Linked DNA regions of Daphnia pulex. The main gene of each other region encodes a partner of the protein of the gene in region 2 in a complex. Links are inferred from orthologs where the notes say so. Each region holds a gene or a part of one and is shown on either strand. Other genes may lie near its edges.

Region 1 (5,582 bases), about 1.5 Mb from region 2:
ATTTGATTGCGCTTACTTAGCCACAAATAAAATTAAGTCCCGCCTTAATAGTCCTAAATTTGAGAAATCTATCGGAAATGCCACTCCATCGCTCTTCTATTACTAAATCACCCACCAATTTGAAAAAAAAGAACGCTCAGTTTCGGCTTCGACAATGATAGACTCGCCGTTTCTCTGTGTGATTTGGCATTGAACGCGTCTCATTTGAATTTAAAATAGAGCACCCTGTAGAAATCGTATACGACTCGGTAGACAAAAAATCGTATGCACCTGATTGAATCACAGATTTTTGTATCGATTGTGAAAAGTGTTCAGTTTCTATTTCAATTATTTCTTGCTTACCTTCATGAATAGTGATTTCTTTTATCAGTAAAACGTGCGTTAGTCAGTGAATTAAAATAGAGTAGGCGTTGCAGAAATGCAGAAACATTCAAACAAAGATGTTGAAGTAAATGTTGGCATAGAAGCGGACGAGTCGATTCAAATCGAGGGGGTATCCGCTACAGCAACGAAATTTGGCGAAAGTCTCCGCGGTATTTTCAGATGGCGGCAAAGTTTCTTCAAGCTGGTAATAGCCTTTTTGTGTTGTTGTATTCCAAAGAAACTCCTGGTGTCGAATGTTTGTAGATTATTCTTTCTTAGGTTTGGAAGCAAGCCATCATCTACTACCTCATTTACGTATCGATCACATTGTTCTACGCTTTCGCTTTGGACACTGGCGGCCAGGCAAATTTTGATGCCGTGGCTAGCTATTTGGCGCGATACACTTCTAGCTTGCCCGTCGTTCTGCTCTTGGGTTTCTTCACTTCAACAGCACTTAATCGCTGGTTCAACATAATGTCTAGTATGCCTGGAACCAACCGAGCGATCACACTTTTCGTTGTGTCGCTCAAAGAAGAAGTTGCGGATGGTCGTGCCAGAGTTGACCTGTACATCCGTTACGTTCTGCTTATGTGGCTCCTCACATTCCGCATTGTCTGCCAACCATTGAGAAAAAGATATCCTAATCTGATGGCAATCCAGAATGCAGGATTACTATGCGAGAACGAACGACTTTTACTGGAAAAGCACAAAGGGCAGCCTGGCGGTACTTCGAGGACGTGCTCTCTAGTCGTCTACGATTGGTTAAACGGATTGTTGCGGGACACTTCTCAGAAAGGATACTTTTTCGTTGCTAATGATTTCGGTCGCAACATCGATGCTATCCAGGCCTTGAAGAAAGGTGGTGGAACAGTAATTAAATTTGCTACAAAGAACATTCCTGTTGCCCTGATTCAAGCTGTGACAATTGCCATCTATTGTTACGGACTCGTGTCTATATTGTCCCATCAAATAGCGGAAAAACATTATTTGACATCGGTGATGAGTGGTTATTTTCCGTTGCCCTACGGTACGAATGACCACAAATTTCAAAAAGTGTTTTGTTGTTTTAATATTATACCTTTTATTATTGCAGCTTTGCCATTCTTTTTTTACTATGCCTGGCTCAAAGTAGGCCGAATTGCCACTGACCCATTTGGTAACGATGAAGACGACATCAATATGCTAAACGTTTTCGAAGGCCACATCAATGGGGCGGTACGCTTGCGCAACTCCTACGGGATTAAAATTCCAACTTCGACAACAGAAGACAGCCCCTTCTTTTTGACATAAGCTAACATAGCTGATTTCTTACTGAAAATTCATTATATTCCGAAACTGATGTGAACAAAAATTGAAAATTACAATTTCTTGACAATGCGAATTTTTCGTTCTCTCAGATTTCCACAGTAGGCGAAATGCTCAGAAGGTGATTTCCAGCAAAATTATAAGAGTATCGTCACTTTGAAGTCGGTCAGCGAATACTTTTTGAACAGAAAATTGTTATCCATTTCTGTTCCTTGTTGTGGACTAATTTATATTCTTGAATGCACAAACGATCTGCGCAGCGATTTTCCCGACACCCATTTCATCGCCGGGATGAGCCAACAGTTTGGCAACATCTGAAATGGACATTAACCCGGGCCAAACGGCAAGCATGTAAAACACCTTACGGAAGTAGAAAAAGATTTTGAAAGAAAACTCCGACGTTAATTTTGTAAAAAAAAAAGATTTACCAGAGCTGGAGGAATTAAGGTCAAAAGAGGTCTCATGACTTCTTTGGTTTTGATTGAAGTTATTTCTGCCATCGTTTGAATGAAATAACTAATGAACGCAAGCTGCGGAGTAATAATGCCTTCACCAGCGGCTCGGGTCATTAATTGCATTAAATTTGCAATTGCATTGGAGAGTGGATTATTTTCATGGGCTGAAAACAAATATCAATATGTCAGGGTTTCAAATAATCTTAAAAAAACAAACAAAAAAAAACAACAAAACAAATCAACAACTTACCGCTGTTAGGAGCTACAAACATAAAGTCAAATTCCTCCTCATGAAGAGCCATCTTTTTCAAAGGAGGATATCGAAAACCCGGCGTATTCATATCCCAATCGATTGAACGTTTTGAACCCAACTTTTTGGAAGGGCTGGATGAGTCGGATTCTGGGGCTAACTGGTTATTCAACGCAGCGGTAAACAGCAGGACAGTCAACTGGGCTAACGCTTTGCCGCCTGGTCCACCGGTTTCTTCGTCACTGAAATAAAAAAGGAATGTTAACTGGGATTGGCATTACGCTGAGGCCAAACCCTTTTACCTGGCCAGCATTGAGGAGTGAGTTAGTAGGAATGGGAGTACTCTGGTTGCTAAAGAAATGGCACAGCTTTCTAAATCTAAATGTGCAACTGACAGCGCTCCTTCGACGCACCGTTGTCTTTTGTCAGAAGATTGCTCTTTAATAACTGCCTGCGAGACACAAAGAAAGGACATTCAATCGCATACCCATACCTGCTAGGCTTGTCTAGGATAAAGTTCTTTGATTAAGTACCTTGACCAAAGAAGTGACCAACCATGTTGCTCCACCAATTTTGAATAGTTGATCAATACCCACTGTTGTGCTATGGTCTGACCAACCATGATTTAAAATCTTATTCCATAATTTGGTTAACTGATGATCCAAACTTTGATCTTGATTCTCTGAGACGCTTTGTAGGGGATTGTCGTCTTGTGCCAGACGCCGAATGATTTGCAGCATCAATACTGACCTTAATGGAAAAAAGAATTTTATAGTGAACGCGAAAAATCATTTGTTAGGGCATTATCGTAATTTACCTTTCCCTATAATGCTCTTTAGAGTCATCAAGATTCAGGGAAGTCATCAAATGATCGAGCATGCTCGTGGGCTTACTTTTCAGATTTGCTGGTTGTACCTAAAGGAGATGTCCACCGTATTTTAATTCGAATCTTTTTGATTTTTTTTTAATTGGATCTTTTCTTACTTGGATGTAAAATCGAAGCCAAGCGGCAGCACAAACAGACAGACAGCACATTTGAGTCCGTAAAGTATCGAGAATCCTTTCAACTTCTTCATCAGAAACTAATTGTGATTCGTAAGCCCCCAAAATTTCCCGTATTACAGCAGGGACGTGGAAACAAGCTTCGTGCCATCGAACGCTCCTATGAATAGAAATGGGCTTATTATTTTTCAAGAAAAAAATGGCGAGATTATTTTACCCTGATCTAAGGTCACTCTCTCCAGATGTCAAGGCTTTCAATAACTGATCAGTCAACATGGGATCGCAGCGACTTAATGACAAATCAGGCGCCTGATTAGGTTTCAGCCATTCTGAAGCCCACTGCTCAAAGAAAGTCTCCCCTCCTAGTTCACCACTCAGTATCACCTATCGATCATTAGAACAAGTAACATCAGAAGGCATTCAGGTGTGAATTATTAGATGATTTTCATTACCTCAATGCCGTACATTTGCGTAATACGGCAGAGCATTAGAAATGAGATGTCAAAGAGTAGAGCCCTTGCATTTGCAGTTTTACTTGGATCGGAACCAGCAGGTTGGCGATTCGCTTCGTTAAATCGCACGAGTTTTGTGGCAAAAGCTCGGAGTTTACCAGTCCCAGTTGCAGCGTTCAGTATGAGTTCGAAGCTTTGCCCCGAAAGCAAATGAGATAAAACTTTCAACAGCGTGTCCTAAAATGAAGATGTTATTACTTGCTCTACGTAATTCTCTACATTTTCCTTGATTACCTGATTTTTAGCGTAATCAGTATCCAACGTTTTCAGAATACTGGCCACCGTTGGCTCAGCACGAAGAACCAAAGTAGCTATTTGTGTGTTAGTGGTCTCTAACTTCAGACCTCCGCGGGATAGACTTTCTCTTTTGCTGAGGATGCTTGTAACATGCCATTCAGATAAAAGAGATGTCCGTATTTTCACTTCATTTAATAAACCTTCGACGACATTGCAATGGCATTTGGCATCGGTTGTTTCTAAAAGTCCAGGATAGCAAAGAAGGCGCTCAAACGCACCCGCGACTTCCGGACTTGGTTCTCCAATAGGCGAATTTGGATCCAATCCTGGATAAACGAGAATTTAATAGAACAGTTTGAAATTTTAAAATATTGCTAATCGTACCAAAAATTGATCGATGAAGTCGGAGTAGTAATGACGGTGCCTTGAGGAAAGTGAATACAGCCCAACGTAGCTCTCCAGGAGAATCAGCAGTTTCGGCTAGTCCTAGGCAACACGCTCTGAGGATTTCGCAATAGAGCTGGGTGGGTGAATAGCCTCTTAGTTTCTGTAGAACTTCCAACTGTCGAGTCAACTCAAGGCCATCTGACGTGGGGCGAAGCAACGCCTCCCAAGATATTAATGTATGTACGTCTGTGCACAATGAGTTCTCGTAAAAGGGCTTTTCGGGACCATTTTCTTTGAATAGATCATTTTCAAATGATCGGCATTGCCTGTGGAGAATTTGTTTTAATGACCACTCATTGACGAAGAACATCAAATGAAGTACCTCATGACTTTTTCGACAGATTCCACAAGTTTTTCTGATGACGGATTCCCATTAGTAGTTAAATTTTTCAGGTTGGACTCAGTTTGGTTTACAAGCGATGTAAGATGAGTTGCTGAAAACTGATCATTAGTGCAGCAACGTGCAATGTATAGAAGAGATATTAAATAGTTCTCTTCATACAAAGTCCCCAGTAATCCTGTAGTATAATGGCAAATGACTGAATAGTCATTGGTTGCACTATTATTATCAAATAGTTTTTTTAGTCCATCAGACGTAAGACTCCAAAGCCAAGTTTCCAAAGACAATAGAGAAGCAGCTAAAGCAGCAGGCCCATCGCCAGATCCAGTACATGAAATATGTTTCTAATAAATAATATTGTTAAAACCATATCTCAATTTAAGACTGAATGGGAAAAGTTACTATTGATTGCTCCACCAAAAGTAGTAACTCCAAAAGGCATCTGGTTTTCTGGATACTACCTTGAAGGCAGATATTTTCGAAAACAGCACTGTAGGAAACAATCTAAAACACACAAATGGTATGCAATTAAATATTAACAAGCAAAACAAAATGTGTTTAGTAATTGAATTAAAGTTGTGGTTTTACTTGAACATGTAATGAATGCTGTAGATATGACAACAACTTTGAATTTGGAGATGGTCCGATCAAAGCCTGCTGTAAAATGCTTT
Region 2 (9,284 bases):
ATGGCGGAGACAAATTATTTTCATTAAATAGTAACTCCAAAATTATAGTGATCCCCTCTTATTCATTATTGATTTCAAATACGAACAATGTTTTAGTACGTTTTCGTCACGCTATTTTATTATGATGACCAGTGGGCTTTTATATACTTGTGCTATTTGCTGTGCAATCCCACTCATTGTATACAGGCTTTTAAATACATCTAAAATTATATTGATTAATTTACATGACTGAGATGAGATTTTACTTCACATTCCATACCATATGTCTAACCTACGCATACCAAGAGCAAGAAAATCGAACGCTTTAGTTTAAATGCGAGGGTGATATCCGTTGAATGATGGGTGCATATTTAAGCGATCCTAGATACGTAGTTTCATTCATTTTTGAATCCACTAAATCTTTACAAAATGGCCGCGTAATATGTAGCCTACTGCGTAGTAGAATATAACTCGGTATGCAACCCGCGGGAACAAAGGATTTTGACAGAGGAAAATAGAGCAGGTTACAATGTTAAAAACATCATTGTTTTATGATTCAACAAAAGAATATACTTCCGCTTCATTCTTTCCATCAGTTTGTAGGTAATATGACGTATTCGTCGCGCCATTGAAATCAATAATGTTCTAAACATTAAGGCCTATTGGTTGTCTTTTTTCTCCGAAACGGAACTGAAAAACGGGGGTTATTATTTAAAAAAAAAACGTATGTTGTAACTAAAATGTGGAAATTGTTCCCTTGGATTTTCCCAACATGGAGATATTTAGAAATAATCCCCTTTGGCGCTGGGCGTTTGCAGTCTACAAAATCCTGATGAATCGAGGCACTACAGACGTATAACATAAACAGCAGTACTATATAAAGGTGTCCGTCGATAGACAACATTTTCAGATTTAAAACTTCCTTCGCTCTCCATCGACTCAAACATTTTTCTCTTGAAATGCTTCAGTTCTACTCAAAGGTAAATTATATTATTATTTTTGTAATTATCGGAGTTTGTGCAGACTCTTAAGATAACCAAGATTTTCATTCTTCCAACAATCTAGAATTTCTCATGCTCGTCTCTGTTCCTCATATTTTTCGCCTTAAGCATCGTGATAAGCTACGGACCCGGCGCTTGCGGAGGTGTGCATTTGCTAAAAGTAATACATCATATTTTTGAACTAATAACATTTGCGACTATTTAATTCATGTAGCGGGGATCGGCCGAAAAGCAATCTGTGTCTGCACGTTGCAGTACGAGCCAGTTTGCGCCACAGACGGGAAAACTTACGGCAACCTATGTGCTCTGGAGTGCGACAAAAAGAGCAAAGCTTACGATGGCGAATGTAAATCAACGAAGACAGTCAAGAGAGCGGCGGCTGAGTGTGGATGTCAATTCAAATTCGCCCCCGTTTGCGGAACAGACGGCAAAACCTACGACAACGAGAACTGCATGGAAGTTGAAGTCACTCAATGTGGAACTGTCATCGATTCACCCATCAGGAAGGCTCACGACGGCGAATGTAAAACAACACCCATCAAAGTATCCGAAACACAATGTGGGTGCCCGGACAACTTTGCTCCAGTTTGCGGGACTGACGGAAAGACTTACCCCAATGCGGTATGCATGATCAACACACTCACCAAATGTGGGACCATCAAAACAACTGTAACTATCGCTCGCAACAGCGCGTGTAAGTAATACAGAGAAACCAGGTGACCTTATTGTTGAATCACGTTACCTAGAAAAGCTATGGAAGAATTGAAATTTTTAATAATAGTACGAGTATTATTATCAGTACCCGATCGAAAAATGACCAGCATACTATTTATTTTATTTTTTTAAAACGCCAATAAAAATGTTATCGATCACCGATCTATCTGTTTGCTGCTTTCTTTTCTCGTTCGTGAATTACGATTTAGAATTTGCATATCTAGCGGTCACCTTGGAATGACCACGGAAAGGAAAAGACAAGTCTAGATGTATTTTTATACTTTTTGCTATATAAGAGAAAATGCGCAAAATATTTGCAATGCAAATGAAACAAGATCCGCATTGATATAAAAATGGGATTTTCCCCACTTCAACGTGACGTGCCAAGTTATTTGCCTCGACGCGTTTTTCGATTTGTCTAGAGTCGTTGACCATCATGATTTATCTAAACAACACCATCAGAAACAAAAGACAAAATTCTTTAAGCTGCGCCAGCTAGCGCACTTAGTTGTTTGAGTAGCACTCGATATTTTAACACGACGCATTAGGACGAGTGCAGAATGATGCAACAATATTATTAGTGACGAAATGTCGAGAAGCTGGTGGAAATTCAATTTTCAAGACCTTCATTCAAAGTCGTTACAACCTAATCAAGTAATCTCTTTTTAGCGCAAAAGGAAATTAGAAACCATAACTTAAGTATTACCTTGCGCACACACGTTGAAGGTGATAAGCATCAGAGAGAATTTCGCAATGGTTTAAGAACATATTTCGGGTTGAAAATCTGTTTCAATGCAATGATGGTCAACACACGTAGCAATAAGGAAGTCTAAAGCTCCGAAAAATATCCTAACGACCTTGCACAATTCCATTGAATTTAATTTCTTTCTAAAAGTTACAAAGAACGACGTAAAAGGCGCGGATGGTAGCCCAAAGCGACGTCCTCCCAAATGTGATTGTGATTTATATCAGCTTAAAAACAAGCCCCGAGCGCGACTCATCCTTTAGGCTAGATATAAAAATAAAGGATGGATAAATAAGAAAGTTTATGTCGGGAAATATTTTCTCAAATTAAAATCCAAAATCCCCTTATAACTCTGAAGAACAAGGAGATGATTAACGTTATTTCTGACATTAATTAATCAAACAAAGAATACAAAATAAAAACTGCAAGGAAATTTGTCTTTCACGATGACTCGACTGGCAAGTCAGACGAACAGAAATGTGCCTACGTGATATCCAATGTGAGAATCACGCTATTAAAGCACATAGACACTCGCCGAAATGAATGCTAAATCATTCTTCACCTGACGGCCCTCAAAGCGGAAAGCTTGAGGATGTTGTAAAGGTGTTTAAAAATTCGCATCGCGAACGATTCGAACATTATTTCGAAGGTCACCTTCAATGCTTTATTTGCTTTCGATTGCAACTGTGTTTGTGTGAACGCCAAATTAATTTTTCTAAGCCTCGTATTCGCATTTCGCAGTGCTCCGGCTTGCAAAAGATACAAAATGATTAAATATTTAATTTGCGAATGAATCCGGTGAATCAAATCGGTACAATATTTCGATTTTCAAAACGCCACACCTAGTTTTCTCTGCAATGTGTCAAAGGTCCTTTAAAGTCAATGTCAATGAAAAAGCTAATGTAAACTTGTCTGAGACCGGTCGGCTGGAAGATGTTTTTTTTGTTAATAGTTTAAAGCTATATTCAGCAAATGCCACATCGCCTTTTCCGGTTTTCATCGAGTTCTACCTTTTTCTTTGTCATGAGATTTACGTATATGGTGGTTATCGCTGTGTCAAAGTGCCTAACAGAGTCCAAACTCCTTTTTAAGATTTTTGCCCTTGGAGTTTTATTCGCCTTCATTCACTACGACAACATCCCGACACAAAGAACTCGAGGAAGTAGAATCTCCCGAGCCGCATATGTGCTGCAACACGTCGTATTGTTGTAAGATTGATGACCGGTACAATTAAAGCAAAGCAGAAAAATGTGGCGACAAGGAAAAATACAATAAATTAACTGTTTTCGAAAATTCTGAAACCCAAATTCGAAGAAAGTTAGAAGATAAAATCAAAGAAATTGTCGTGAAACCTGCCGAGATGTTTTCCCCATTGTGAACGAATGGTACACCGCCTGGTTGACAATAGGCGGCGGTGCTGGAATGGTAAATTAGGCCAATCATTATAGGTTTAGGCGTTTAGCCAACATTTGCTAAAAGTGTGACTATCCGCTATCTCTATTGTGTGAACAATATATTATAGTATCTTTGCAAATTAGTCGACTTATACTGCCCTATTTCCAAACAACACCTGAAGTTGTTTTACGTGAAAGTGTAAAATGTCGAGTTAGCAAGTCACTTTACCGAGAACAATTTCGTCGAAGAAGAGGAGAAACAATGTGAACAAAAAATTGTCAACTCAAAATAGGACAATAACGCGGGTGTCAACGTGTGAGGTAAATTGACAATAAGCGTGACCGGAAAAACCCGTGGTTGCGAAATGGCGTTGAGAGAACCACCACTTAATTGTTTTTGGCGCGCCCCTCATCGACTCACGCACAAGTGTGACGTCAAACAATGAATGTTGATGACGTCAAGTGAATAAAAAAAAAATTGTGGCTGACGGAGGCAATTTTCCTGAGGCGAACGAAACCGGGGAAAAATAATGACGTCAGCGTTGTGCATCGAATTTCTTTAACCGTCATGCTGGAAGGTTCCTCGAACAGGATTTGTTGGATAAAACTAGCAGGTTTCTCTTGGGAAAAAAAATAAATTCTAGTTGCACTTTGCTGGAAGTGTTTAAAGTTCAAATATTTTTTTATTTGAGGTTTGTGAACCAACAACAGACAAAGTTGTAAGGTACAAAACTGGGTCTGACCTGCAGTCGTTCTGCAACACTAAAATTTAATGAACTCTTACTTACTGAGTAAACAAAAACTTCGCCTAAATGAACCCTTACTGAGTTATAGTGAGTAAACAAAAACCGCAAGAGAACCTACTCCAGTTAACCGCATCTAGCTCAGGAATAATCGTACTCCGTAGGCTACTATGTCACGATTTAACACCAACAAACAGTCAAAAAATAAAGAATAGGAATACATTTTTCCTACCTTCAGGCCTGGGAAATATACGGACAGCGGGACAGGCATCCACAAGTGCTCTCCATCCATCCGCAGAATAATTGAATAGGATATTAAAGGGCGGCCTCGTGAATACACCCACACTCACATGGGCATACACGAGGCCGTTTAAAGAAAAGGGAAGAAGAGACCCGTAACATGGCCAACATCGATAGTTTCTCAATCCAGAATCCAAACGGGATGCTGTTAAACTAATTAAAAAAATAAGAAATGGGTTACGAAAAAATATCTGCAGAAACAACAAGCAAGGAATAGTTTAAAATGAGACAGTGAGTAAAACTTGATTGTTAATAAACAGACGGTTTACATGTAATACACTGCATTTTTGCAAGTCCTGCATTACATTGCACAATTAAAGTATCTAGCAGGTCACACACCACTCGAATAAAAGTAAGGTGTAATGAAAATCATTACCTAAGCGATGATGCTGAGATTGCTGCTGATGACAGGTCTATGGTTACATCATATCTTGTTGATGGCTGTCTCTGGCCTCAAATATGCACTAAGGAAAAGGTTACATAGTGAACAAACAAACTGCCATGCATCGACAGAGGGGCTTAAATGATAAATGCTGGTCAGGACGAACTAACATTTAAAAAAATTTGGAAAAGGTTTAATTCTTCGAAATTCAGTTTCTATAGTCATTCTATAGGTATTCTTAGTTTTATTTACCTGGTAATCAGCCGTGTGTACGAAGTGATTCTGTAAAGAGAGTAGGCCTAAGAGATGTGACCACAGAGTGGACACGACCACGTTTATTTCGAAACTAAACAAAACAAAAGCAGCAGACGACGCTAACTTCCTAATTAGCCATTTATTTCTTAAAATATCGATATAAATTATTTAAAAAATCCACAAATATAAAAAACACCCACTCAAAATACGATAAAAGTGGTTTTCCCACCCGCACTCGACATCCGCTAAAGGGATCGGAATTATTTTAGAATGATCTAATAACCCTACCACAGACAAGAAAAAAATTCAATATTTACACGAAACCCGCAGATAAATGACTGCCAAGAAGGAATAATTTCCTTCTTATCTTACAAACATATACAAACATAATACATACAAATACCAGGATATAATACCACCATGAACTTAAAAGGTTATATCCTTCAACTGTCGTTCGGGAAAATTCCGCTTGTAATAGCATTTCTTGCGTCCGTGTAAAATAATTCTTATCTTTACATACAAATACCAGGATATTATACTACTATCAACGTAAAAGGCTATATCCTTCAAATGTCGTTCGGGAAATAAGCTCAGCTTGTTGTGGCATTTTTTGAGACCGTATAAATTATCGGTCAAAAAAGCCTGAAATTTAAAAATTTGCGATCACGCATGAATTAACCCCAAGCGTTAAAGATATTTCGTCATCCTGTAACATCTTATACCCATCATGGACTTGTGCAAAAAAGCTCCAATAGAACTAGAAATTTGAAAAGGCCCTTCGACATTGAACACGAACTTTCACGCGACTTCATCTGCATACGAGCGCAGCAGCAGCAGTTTCAAGGGCGTGATGAGAAGAATTTCGAAATGTCAGCTGTAACACACGTTTAATGATTTTTCTTCTCAAGAAAACTTTGAGAATCTGGAAGAAAGAAACAAAAAAAGGTGTTTCCAATTTTTCACAACCAGTTCTCGATCTCAAATAAGAGATTTCGTTCGCAATCAACGCATTTTTTACCTCCAGGAAAATCGTTCGGGAACGACGACCAACAAGGAATTTGATGTCGCGATCTGTTGCCAAGGTCGACTCTACTTCACGCTCGAACCATATGTCTGCGTGAACTGCTGCTCTGTTCTTGCGTCCCACCTGCGACCTTGGTATAGGCAAACCAGTTACTGGCGGTTACCGGTATATATTCAAACTTGCTATTGCTTTGAGGATTCGCTCGGTTGAGCAAATATTGAACGCCAACATAGACATCCACACAAACCACAAATACATAGAAGAATAAATTTTCTTTTGGGAGGCGGCGAATTCGAAGTCTGCAGGCCGCAGGCTGTTTTTTCGTGATAGTGCCCATAAACATCAAAGCTTGCGCCTAGAGTTCCAGTCACGGACCGTTTGCTGGAGGGAGGAATTAGTCTAGTTACTATAAAAATTCAGAGTCCCTCTGAGACGGTTTCCTATTTGACAATCGCAGTTGTTAAAGAATTGGGATATATTACTAGCAACGCGAACCACTCAATACTTAACAGACAGACCGGAAACGGTGTGAAAGATACCCATGATAGACTGGTACTACTCCGTGAACCAATAAATATGACATTTTCGTGGACGTGAAATCGTGAGATATCCAGGAAATGTGACGTCAACAACACGTGAATGTTCTACGCTCTTTGTCTAGTGTTACCGAAACGTTGTGAGGAGATTTTTAACCTTGACTAAGCTCGTTTCGAACGAACGGCAACAACCATCCTACCTGAGGGATACAGCGGGCGTTCTTTTGACTAGAGTGTGTAGCTGCGGGCACGCTCAAAGTATATAGTGCTAGGGGGCGAAAGTGCTGGAGAAGACCGTGCGTTGTGAAGAAACTCAATTGTAATACGTTTGAAGAAAGATACTTAGTCTTTGAGCACACTTCCACGCGGGCGAATGTGTCGGCTGGTGCTCGCTCCTGACACGGACGCGTTTGATCCATTTCTCGTCCAGTTTGCTGCGGTCTACTAATTGCGATCATGGTCCAATCCGGTTTCTACTGGATTAAACACAGCCCTCCGAATTTCCAGCGCACCCCAATTTGAACGATCGCCTACATCTGGTGACCAAAGAAGAGAAAATGGGATTACTTTCGTGTGCCAGCGTCGTTGTGATAACCGTGTTAGCGGAATTAACCTTCGGAGACAAAGTATTCCCGCAAAAGTGCTGCCCTGGAAATCAGGTGTTGGACGTGGAATTGCGCAAGTGCGTCGATAATCCCGCGGTGTTCAAAACCTACCAGGAAGAATCCGGAGTCAACGATCCACTTTTACAGTGTTCCGATGGATGGGAAACTTTCAAAATGGAAAACCAGTCCGTCGACGGTGCCATTGTAGAACCTCGCTACAATCAAACAATAACTCAGTATTGTGTTCATTCCACTGCGTTTAATGATGTTCGTAACGAGACTGTCGTAGCCTACTGCCGCACTCCAGCGCAAGTGAAAAAATGTTGTCCGATGGGCCAATCAGTCAAACGCAATTCGATCATGGAGTGCATCGCCAACGATCGAGTTTTCAACGCTTCCAAAATAGTTACTCCGGCCGGATGGCCATTCAAAGTCGTGGAGAATTCTTCGTTGACTTGCGAATATGATTTCAACATTTACGTGCCAAAAATGTTCGTCGATAACAGATATGAGGTCAACGCATCCGGCTACTTTGTTGTGAAAAGAGCCTTGTACAAAGTATTGCGTCATTCCGACAATTATTGTGTTGATACTGCTGTCGATGCTGAGGGAAACCAAGAGGTATAGTTATATCAGGGTCCTATTAAATGTTAATTTACTACAATGAAGAAACTTTTTCTTTTGATCCCCTTTAGGATATTGCCATGATATGCCTGCCGTGGAGAATGAAATTGGTGCGGTATCTCCTGTGGGGTGTCTATTCGTACCTTCATTACGTCTCGGCTTTCTTCCTCATTTTGACGTTGGCCGTCTATGCCATCTTCCCTCCACTTCGTGATAACATCCAGGGGTACTCGATGATCTGCTTCTTGATTTGTATGATTATCGTACAACTCGAATACGGAATCCTGCTTTCACTTCCCACCGAACCCCACACCTGGTGTTTTTTCAAAAGTAAGAATCTCATATAGGTTAAAATTTATTATTAAAAATTTTATTTAATTATATATCCTTACAAAAAAATTTCTCTTCACTAGCGATTGCTAGTAATTATTTTCGGTATGCGTCCTCAACCTGGATTACCGTGATGGGATTCAACATCTGGAACCAGTTAAAGTAATAACTCACTTTTTTTTACGGCCCTCTCCTTTTGGTGGAATTTTATTTTTCAAATGCAACTGTTTATTTTTAGTTCAGGTCCCAGACCATCAAATAGACGGGACTTGCTCATCCGTTTTGTATTGTGTTCCGTCTACGCTTGGGGATTGCCATTCGTACTACAAATGGCTGTGGTTATTTATCGTGATAGTTTGGGACCACCTGTCCGTCTTTGTTGGTTTGGAAATCCCATAAGTAAATTTCAGTTATTCGTCTTCTTCCTGCAATAATAAAATTAACACACATGGATTATTTTTCAGTCAAACATTTACTGAGCACACCGAACGTCATTCTGGTGACGGCCAATTTGATTTTCTTCATTCCAAGCGCTCTTAAAGTTCATGGAAGTCTCCGTTTCCTTAAAACTTCTGTTTCGCCCGTGGCTCTCAGCAAATTGGAAAAACAAAGGTTATATCTAAATATGAATAGTTTCATGGTGATGTAACAA
Region 3 (7,444 bases), on a different chromosome or scaffold from region 2:
ATAATAACAACGGTGACATTATTTATAGCTTTCTTTATGGCAACTTTTTAAATTGATGACGTAATGATGTAGGGGAATTGTAAAAGAATGTGGCAACATAGGGCATATCCGATCTTGACATTTAATCGCAATTGAGGAAGTGAATTTAGTTTGAGTTACATCATTTTGAACGGCTGTGGTCTGTGTCTAAGATTCATAGAAAATAGACGGACTCATAGTCCGTCGTTGAATTTCAGTCGATTTTGAAATTTTTTTTCGAGGGTTTTTACAACTTGGCGCGCAGTTTGAAATCAATTTGAACATTTTTTTTTCAATATTTATTTTTTTTTTTTTACCTTTTCAATATCAAGGGATCGCCGTATACTGCCGTCCATCAAAAAGCCGATTCAAACACACACACACACACGAAAAGCCTTCAGCTATTCCTCTCTTGTATAAATATCCCAAGTAGCAGCAGCATCGAATATTGATATAGCCTCCGTCCCTCCTATCCTATACGTGTATTGATGTTGATTCCCGGACCATTTTTTTCACATGGTCATTCAGAATCCGAAATCTTTTCCTCCCCTATAAATAATATGGCACGACGGCGACGACGGCGGCCACGGTGTATAGAAAAATAAATAAATATATACCGGGGGGGGGGGGGAAATGCCACAGGCGTGAAATCAAAAGAAGCCAAAAGGTCAGGATAGATAGATGGAAAAAGTTGTGTGGTATCAGGTATAAGCCGGCGAACGTCTTGCGCTGCTATTCCAAACATGTAAACAGATCAAAAACAGACGCCGGCAAGAGAGAGAGAGTGTACACATAAACAACACACTTCAAGAGAGTGATTTCGTACGCCGTATAAACTGCTGTTAGACTATATATATATGTATACAGCCCTGCTGGAAATAGCATCCACCGTCGCTCTTTTACTTCTCTTATTACATCAGAAACTGTCGACTCCTCTGTGACCCCCCCGCAATCAAGTGGCACGACGTCGTCGGAGTCTCTTGTTTCATTCAAACCGAGAACGATATCAAAGCAGATGGAACACGACGGCATACACCGTGGAAATCTCCTTTGTGTCTAGTCAGCAATTTGAATTTTTGAAATGGGGGGAAAAAACCGCGCCATTTTTTAAATAATGTTCAAAAAATTCCGGGAAAAAATGAGGATAGCAAATGGCACTTGGTACACACACACACACACAACAGAGAACCCCTAATGGCCATCCATTGAGGTGATGATGTGTTTGTTTAGAAACGGGAAGCCCACAAAATCAACACAATAAAAGAAGAAGAAGAGAGAAAGTTGTCCTCTTGATTTTTCTTGTTGACTTAAAGTTTTTTAAAAAAAGCGCCCGGAAGAAAAGCGGGAAACTTTGAAAAAAAAGTCCAAAAAATACAAGAAGGGTCGAGTGTGTGTGCAAAGGTGGGCGACGGCGGTTTTTGAATCAACACGGTTAAAGAGAAAATAAAATAAAAAACATTTAGTTTTTTTTTCTTTTTCCAAAAGGATGGATAATAGAGTTGTACCCAAGTAACATAGAAAAACACCGGAGCGGCGGAGTTCTTTTTATTTTCTTTATTTGTATTTTTCCTTTTTTATTTTGTTGTAGCAATGGCGCGTTTTTGTTGTTGTTGTGTAAGGGCAAATAGAGTTGTTGTTTGTTGTGTTTGTCGATCTATCGGATGCCGGTGGTTTTGCGGAAAGCGTTGAACTGCTCCAGGTACTGATTGATGCCGTCGATAGTGCCCAGCATGTCGCCGAATCGGCTCTGATGGTCCGTCACGGAACAGAAAAAAGATTTATGCATCCAGGAAAAAAATAGAGAAAAAAATAAAAAAAATTTTGTTAGACGAATTGGAATAATAACAACATGACGAAAGGCAAACATCGTAAATTCTTATTTGATATTGATGGGGATGAAGAAGAAAAAAATAAAATAAAATTGTTTTGAGCCTATAGACGGGCAGCAGGAAGAAGGAGCAGACCTGGATGTACGGAGGCGGAGTAGATGGGACGCAACCGCCCAAGAAGCCCTGCATGAACTCGCGGATCAGATCCCAACAGGCGGCCGGCAGACTGCACGCTTGATATTCCACCTGTCAAAACGGATGGCAAAAGTTATCTCTCCGATAGAATCGATCGGGAAAACAAAAAAATTGTTTCTCATCCATATAAACAGACCCTGCAGACGTCGCTGGCTGGCTGTTGTTATTATTGTTGTTGCGAGTGTCAGCGGGAGTATATGAAATCAATATTCAGCCGAGTCAGAAAATGTTCGCCCCCAAAAACTCATTTGAAATTCCATGACATCTCAACAACAAAACCAAAAAATAAAATAAAACGAAACAAGGAGAAGATGAGAAGAGCCCATGACGTAACAACACAGACGGAGAATATCACGCGCCTTCCAGTTGTGCCGCGTTTTTCTTCTCTTTTCTTCTCTTCTTCTTCTTCAATGGAAAAAGAGAAATAAAAAGGCCCCGATGGTTGGATGGATGATCAATTGTTTTGTTCACAACATCAGCCCGCCCCAGCGCCAACACACTCGGCTCGTGTACGATAATAAGAGGCACCCAAAAGAGCGAGGAACTCTCTCGAGTCACGAATAATCAAAGAACCAAGAAAACCAAGAAAACGAGACAGAGTCTCTTTTCTTTCTCCCGTTTTTCACATCAACATTGACTCAGCCCTTCTCTCTCTGTGGCTCTATTCAAGCGTCCATCATCACAAATATTAGCCCAAACCCGTCAGAGCCAGCTCGTAGACTCGTAGTGATTTGATCATTTCAAATAATTAAATTTCTCCCACCCAACCCCACTTTTAATTCAATATTGACAAGCTCATTAACTGTCTGAAACCTTCCCGAGTGAAATGAAAAGAAAAAGAGGCGCTTGCATATTTAGTGCTGGATGACCGAAAACGGAAAAAAAGAACCATCACGCGGAGATTGTAAACACAGAAGAAGAAGAAGCTGGAAAAGCTCTAGCTCTAGCTCTCCCTCCACACACAGAGAAAACGGATGTTGTCAAAGGGTTTTCTTGTTTTTCAAGAGGCCAGAAAAAAGCCTCTCATCATTATTACCTTGTAGGGAAAGAAAAAGGGAGACAATCGACAGCGTCAAGTCGAGATAGAGATGGAAGTTTTTGATGTCGTTATTGTCTATGCACTAACGTGGGATATTGGTTGGTTGGTTGGGTTGCTGTTTAATGTATACCTCGACTAGGATGCCCTTGAAGGCCGGTCCCATGGTGACGGAGCCGAGCTTGACGAGGAAGTCTCCGGCTTCGAAGCGCGGCCCTCTCGATTCGATCTTGGTCTGCTTCTTGGCCGTGTAGAAATTGGAGAGCTTGAGCATGAGCAGGTCGAACAAGTTGTCGGCCACCAGGGCCACCGTCTTGTTGCCGCTGGCCGCCTCCAGCAGAGCGAACACGGAGGCCGGCGTCTCGGAATTGTGCAGCAAATGCACCGATCTCGGCGCTCCTGCCAAATGAAGAAACCAAAAGTTTAATGATTTTAAATAATAAAAAGAAAATGAATGATAAAAACACATTGGCGTTTAACCCTCCCACATCACAAGACATGAGAGAAATCAAATTTCCTACGAAAAAAAGAAATTGAGCCAGATTGGCAGTTTGCAAAAACAAGGGCGATAGACAAGTTGATGGCGTCATCAGTCAAGTCCCGCCGGATAATGATGATGGCGCCTAGCCCCCCGTCTGTCTCTTTCTCCTTTTTTTTCGGATTTTTTTCCATCTCGTCGGAGGATTTGGTTGGAAATGCTCGCAAATGGCAACTCGAAAAAGCTTGCGGGCAACTCTCCAACATGTCAGATAAACCACAAACAGCCGCAGCCTTCCGTCGCCCCCGTCTCTCTATTCCTCCTCTTCCTCCTCCGCTACCGACGACAACAACAACAACAACAACCCCCACGAAAAAAAGAACTAAAGCGCACGCCAAGTGTCGGGAGGAAACCTTGGGCATTAGGGAGAAAGAGAAAGAAGAAAACAATAACTATGCGCGCCAGTTGTTCTCAATCTTCAACGAGTGTGACGTCAAACCTCACCATCAACTTATCTCTTCTTCTTCTTTCTCTTTCCTCCTCTATTTCCACCCCCGACGGAGGGAGAAAGAAAGAAAAGAAAGAAAAAATCAAACAAAACAAGGAAACCACAAAAGCACGGAGTCGGTAGGCAGTCATGTGTGTTGTTGTGTTGTGTATAGCAGCTGGGCGGATCGGTAGCGCCCGTCCACTTGATATCTAGACGTGAAGCAGGTATATCTCTCTATATATTCGTGCATGTGGATATACATATAGCCAGAAGAAGAATATAAGAACAAGGATTCCTCTTCAGATTTTCCTGCCCACATTCTACCCATTAACTGCGTTGGTTATTTTCAAAATAGAAAATCAAAATAAAATGTTTTTTAAAAAATTGGAAGCTAAGAAAGAAGAGAAAGAAAAAAGAGCCATTTGAAAAAATACTGCTTCGAGATAAGACATCAAGTGGCTTCTACTTCTTCTGGGATTCTTTCCAGCCTCCCTCTGCTTTTTTTTCTTTGGTTGGAAATAAAAAATCAATTCTATTCCAATACGCTCTCTCATGACGCGGGAAACTTAAATTTTCAGTGTAATTCAAATGTCTTTTTTTTTGGGGGGGGGGGGGAAAGAGGAGGGAATTTCAAACGTGGAAGAGAAGGAACTCTGCGGGGAGGAGGAAATCACTGTGTGTGCGAGATTTTCTTCTTACTCCGACCGGAGCTGCTGCTGTTTTTTGGGATGGGGGATGTTGTTGTTGTTGTTGGACCCCGGCTGCAAAGTCTGCGTCTGTCTCTCACACGAGATGAGGCTGGAGAAAAACTTCTTCTTCTTCTTTAGGCCCAATCGGTTCGTGACACGCGATATCTCTCACGAACGATTCCCACACCACGTCGCAGAGTTAGATCAAGAGAGAGGCCCTGACCAATCTCAATCGAGTAGAGATCCCAAACACCCGACAAAAGGGCAACCAACCCAATGTGCTTTCTCGCTCACTTCTTCTTCTTCTTCTTCTTTTACAAGGAACTTGGTGATATTCCATCAGGCTCACATCATCCCCCCCGGTAATAGGATACATCTTCTTTTATTTCCTGGTGTGGTGGCTGCTGCTGCTGCCCTTTTCTGTGTTAAACCAAATCAATCCAGCTCGTGAATTATTCAACGCATTCCAATCAACTTATGGACGCTTCTTTTCTTCTTCTTCTACTTCATGTATAACCTCCTCCTCTTTCACCTGATATAAAAATATTTTCTCTCTTTCCTTCTCTTTTGCGCCATCCCCCGATCGGAATGTCTTCATTTCGGACGGACGGACGGGGAGATTTCTCGACGAGATCTTCTTTCTCTCGCCCCCCTACCGTAGCACAGAGGAAAGGTTAACCAAAGGTAATAATTTACCTGCCTTCCTAGTTCTTTTTTTTTTTTTTATTTTTATCATACGAAACAAACGGCTTTCACCCCCCTGTAGGAAGGTGTGGTTATACACCCGGGGTAAAATCAGAAAGAAAAAAGAACGGGGGAAAATGTTTTATACACACGAGCCCTTAACGATTGAAAGATCACAAATAATAAAACACACAGGAGAAAATGAAGTTGGACAACTTCAAAAAGAGAAAACGTTTTTTAAGACTCTCTTTTCTCCGCGTCTTTTTAAAGGGTCATTAAAAAACATTTGGTTAAAGTCCAGAGGGGGCTCCCACAAGCTCAGATTTCATCATTCCAACTTGATCGTTTTGGAAGAAAAAGAGAAAAAAATAAAAAGATGAAAATGTCCGCGTTTCTTTCACTGATAGATTCTCCTACTTCCCAAAAACTCGCCAAGTTGGCCCGTCCTGTGTAGGTGTCAGCTGAGAAAACTCGTACGGGGGTGCGGAGAGATTCAATTTCACAGATGAACGGCACAGACTGACGGCCAGATGTAGAGAGGATACCAAGTGGGGGGAACGCCGGAAAACAACAGAAAATCGGCGAAATCGGCAAAAAAGAAGAGAGGAGTGTGCTCGCGCTATGGTCTTCTGTTGGAGACGGGAAAAGATATTGCGACTATTTGTTCCTTTTTCAACATTTTTTTTTATTATTTTCGGTCCGAAACTGGCCGGCCCCCCTCTCTATTTCCGTGACGACACGAATCACGCCCAAGATTGACGACAACAAGAAAGTTTGGGGGGAACGGTTCCCTCCTCTTCAGATGCGCTCCGGGAGGGGGGTTTTCTAACAAGAAGAAGGAGGAGGCTTCGTCGCATATATATCTCTACTACTCCTTTTTCCCTTGTAACTTATTAAAACATTTCAAGAATGTGTCGTGTGTATCTGCTGGCTCCACCCCTTTTGATTTCCAGTCGCTTGAAATGTGTGCGAAAATGGAAACTAATTGTGAAAAAAAGGAATGAAGTGGAGAGAGAGGGGATGAAGCTATTTAAATGTAAACATGTCGAGACAGAGCTATTCTCGGTCGTTCTTTTTGCCAAGTGGTGCACACAAGTCAGCTGATGGCCCTGTGGCGTATCAAATACGCTTGACATCGAATTGCCGAGTTAGACGAGAGAGAGAGAAGAGAAAGAGAGTCGAGAGAGGCTACGGATCGATGAAACAAAAGACGCCAACTGTATCAACGCTCAGCCTTAACAGACTTAAGAGACAATAAGGCGGCGGCGGCGGCAGCAGACGGGCAGATTCAACGTCGCGGAATGGCAGTAGAACAATGCGGAATCGAAATACGAAATTCAAAACAAAAAAATTAATAAAAAGAAAAAAACAAATTTGTTTTTTTTCACGAATTGAATGGACCGTATGTCATCGGTCCCAGAGGCGTCCGTGAGTCAAAGAGCCAAGGACGGGCAAGTATATATGTTGACAGCTTGTCACTAGCGCACGTAGGACGGCCTACCTGAATTACCCGGCAGAACGAATCGTTTTAGGGGGAAAAAAAAGCTAGCTTCACTCGACACGGTCCTTAAATAAAAGTTGGAATAGCAAAAAGGGAATAAAGAAAACTAAGCAAAGAGTTTGGGAGGAAAAAATAAAAGAGGTAGAGACATCCATATGTGGGAATGGAAGGGGAGGAAATTTACAAGTCAGGTAGTGTGTTTTGCTCGTAAAAGGTGTTTAGAGGATTCGGATATCTCGTGTGTTACGTGTCGAGCGGATGGTTAAAATCAAAAGAACTCGGTGCCCTCCACATTTGAGTTATTCAAATGTAGAGATGGGTGGTGCCATCTGGTTATGGGAAAGCTGAACAGTTCCAACGGTGGACTTGGAGCTGGTAAAGTGAGCAGCAGATGGGTCTGCTGTCACAACTTGTTTACCACCATGGACTTGAATCGGGAAAAATGTAATAGAAGATTGTGTTTTTTACCCAATGATGCAGTAGAACTGTAAGTTTCACAATCCACGATGAAGGATCCACTAAGA

The links. The genes of interacting proteins can lie anywhere in the genome.
Region 1: mediator of RNA polymerase II transcription subunit 23-like (region 2) and mediator of RNA polymerase II transcription subunit 24-like share a complex: the UniProt entries of both Drosophila melanogaster proteins name them as parts of the mediator complex. The link is inferred for Daphnia pulex from reciprocal best matches to the Drosophila melanogaster genes MED23 and MED24.
Region 3: mediator of RNA polymerase II transcription subunit 23-like (region 2) and mediator of RNA polymerase II transcription subunit 20-like share a complex: the UniProt entries of both Drosophila melanogaster proteins name them as parts of the mediator complex. The link is inferred for Daphnia pulex from reciprocal best matches to the Drosophila melanogaster genes MED23 and MED20.

Annotation. Positions count from the first base shown.
Region 1 is NC_060019.1:9,363,489-9,369,070, forward strand, and holds the end of mediator of RNA polymerase II transcription subunit 24-like, read right to left. Parts: coding exon 5,500-5,582; intron 5,416-5,499; coding exon 5,314-5,415; intron 5,256-5,313; coding exon 4,894-5,255; intron 4,838-4,893; coding exon 4,509-4,837; intron 4,451-4,508; coding exon 4,122-4,450; intron 4,065-4,121; coding exon 3,828-4,064; intron 3,760-3,827; coding exon 3,593-3,759; intron 3,536-3,592; coding exon 3,358-3,535; intron 3,289-3,357; coding exon 3,191-3,288; intron 3,124-3,190; coding exon 2,907-3,123; intron 2,825-2,906; coding exon 2,676-2,824; intron 2,616-2,675; coding exon 2,374-2,615; intron 2,288-2,373; coding exon 2,097-2,287; intron 2,029-2,096; coding exon 1,891-2,028; 3' UTR 1,668-1,890; downstream 1-1,667. Other genes in the region: bestrophin-3-like, read left to right, coding at 419-568, 643-1,390, 1,457-1,653. UniProt on the Drosophila melanogaster protein: Component of the Mediator complex, a coactivator involved in the regulated transcription of nearly all RNA polymerase II-dependent genes.
Region 2 is NC_060019.1:10,885,016-10,894,299, forward strand, and holds the start of mediator of RNA polymerase II transcription subunit 23-like, read right to left. Parts: upstream 5,608-9,284; 5' UTR 5,511-5,607; intron 5,341-5,510; 5' UTR 5,253-5,340; intron 5,030-5,252; 5' UTR 4,809-5,029; intron 1,857-4,808; exon of another isoform or gene 1,683-1,856; coding exon of another isoform or gene 1,195-1,682; intron 1,124-1,194; coding exon of another isoform or gene 1,045-1,123; intron 960-1,044; coding exon of another isoform or gene 863-959; intron 132-862; coding exon of another isoform or gene 97-131; intron 1-96. Other genes in the region: ovoinhibitor-like, read left to right, coding at 97-131, 863-959, 1,045-1,123, 1,195-1,682; uncharacterized protein LOC124191180, read left to right, coding at 7,631-8,299, 8,374-8,632, 8,716-8,794, 8,871-9,031, 9,097-9,244. UniProt on the Drosophila melanogaster protein: Component of the Mediator complex, a coactivator involved in the regulated transcription of nearly all RNA polymerase II-dependent genes.
Region 3 is NC_060026.1:11,658,788-11,666,231, forward strand, and holds the end of mediator of RNA polymerase II transcription subunit 20-like, read right to left. Parts: coding exon 7,389-7,444; intron 3,478-7,388; coding exon 3,212-3,477; intron 2,094-3,211; coding exon 1,983-2,093; intron 1,766-1,982; coding exon 1,673-1,765; 3' UTR 1,668-1,672; downstream 1-1,667. UniProt on the Drosophila melanogaster protein: Component of the Mediator complex, a coactivator involved in the regulated transcription of nearly all RNA polymerase II-dependent genes.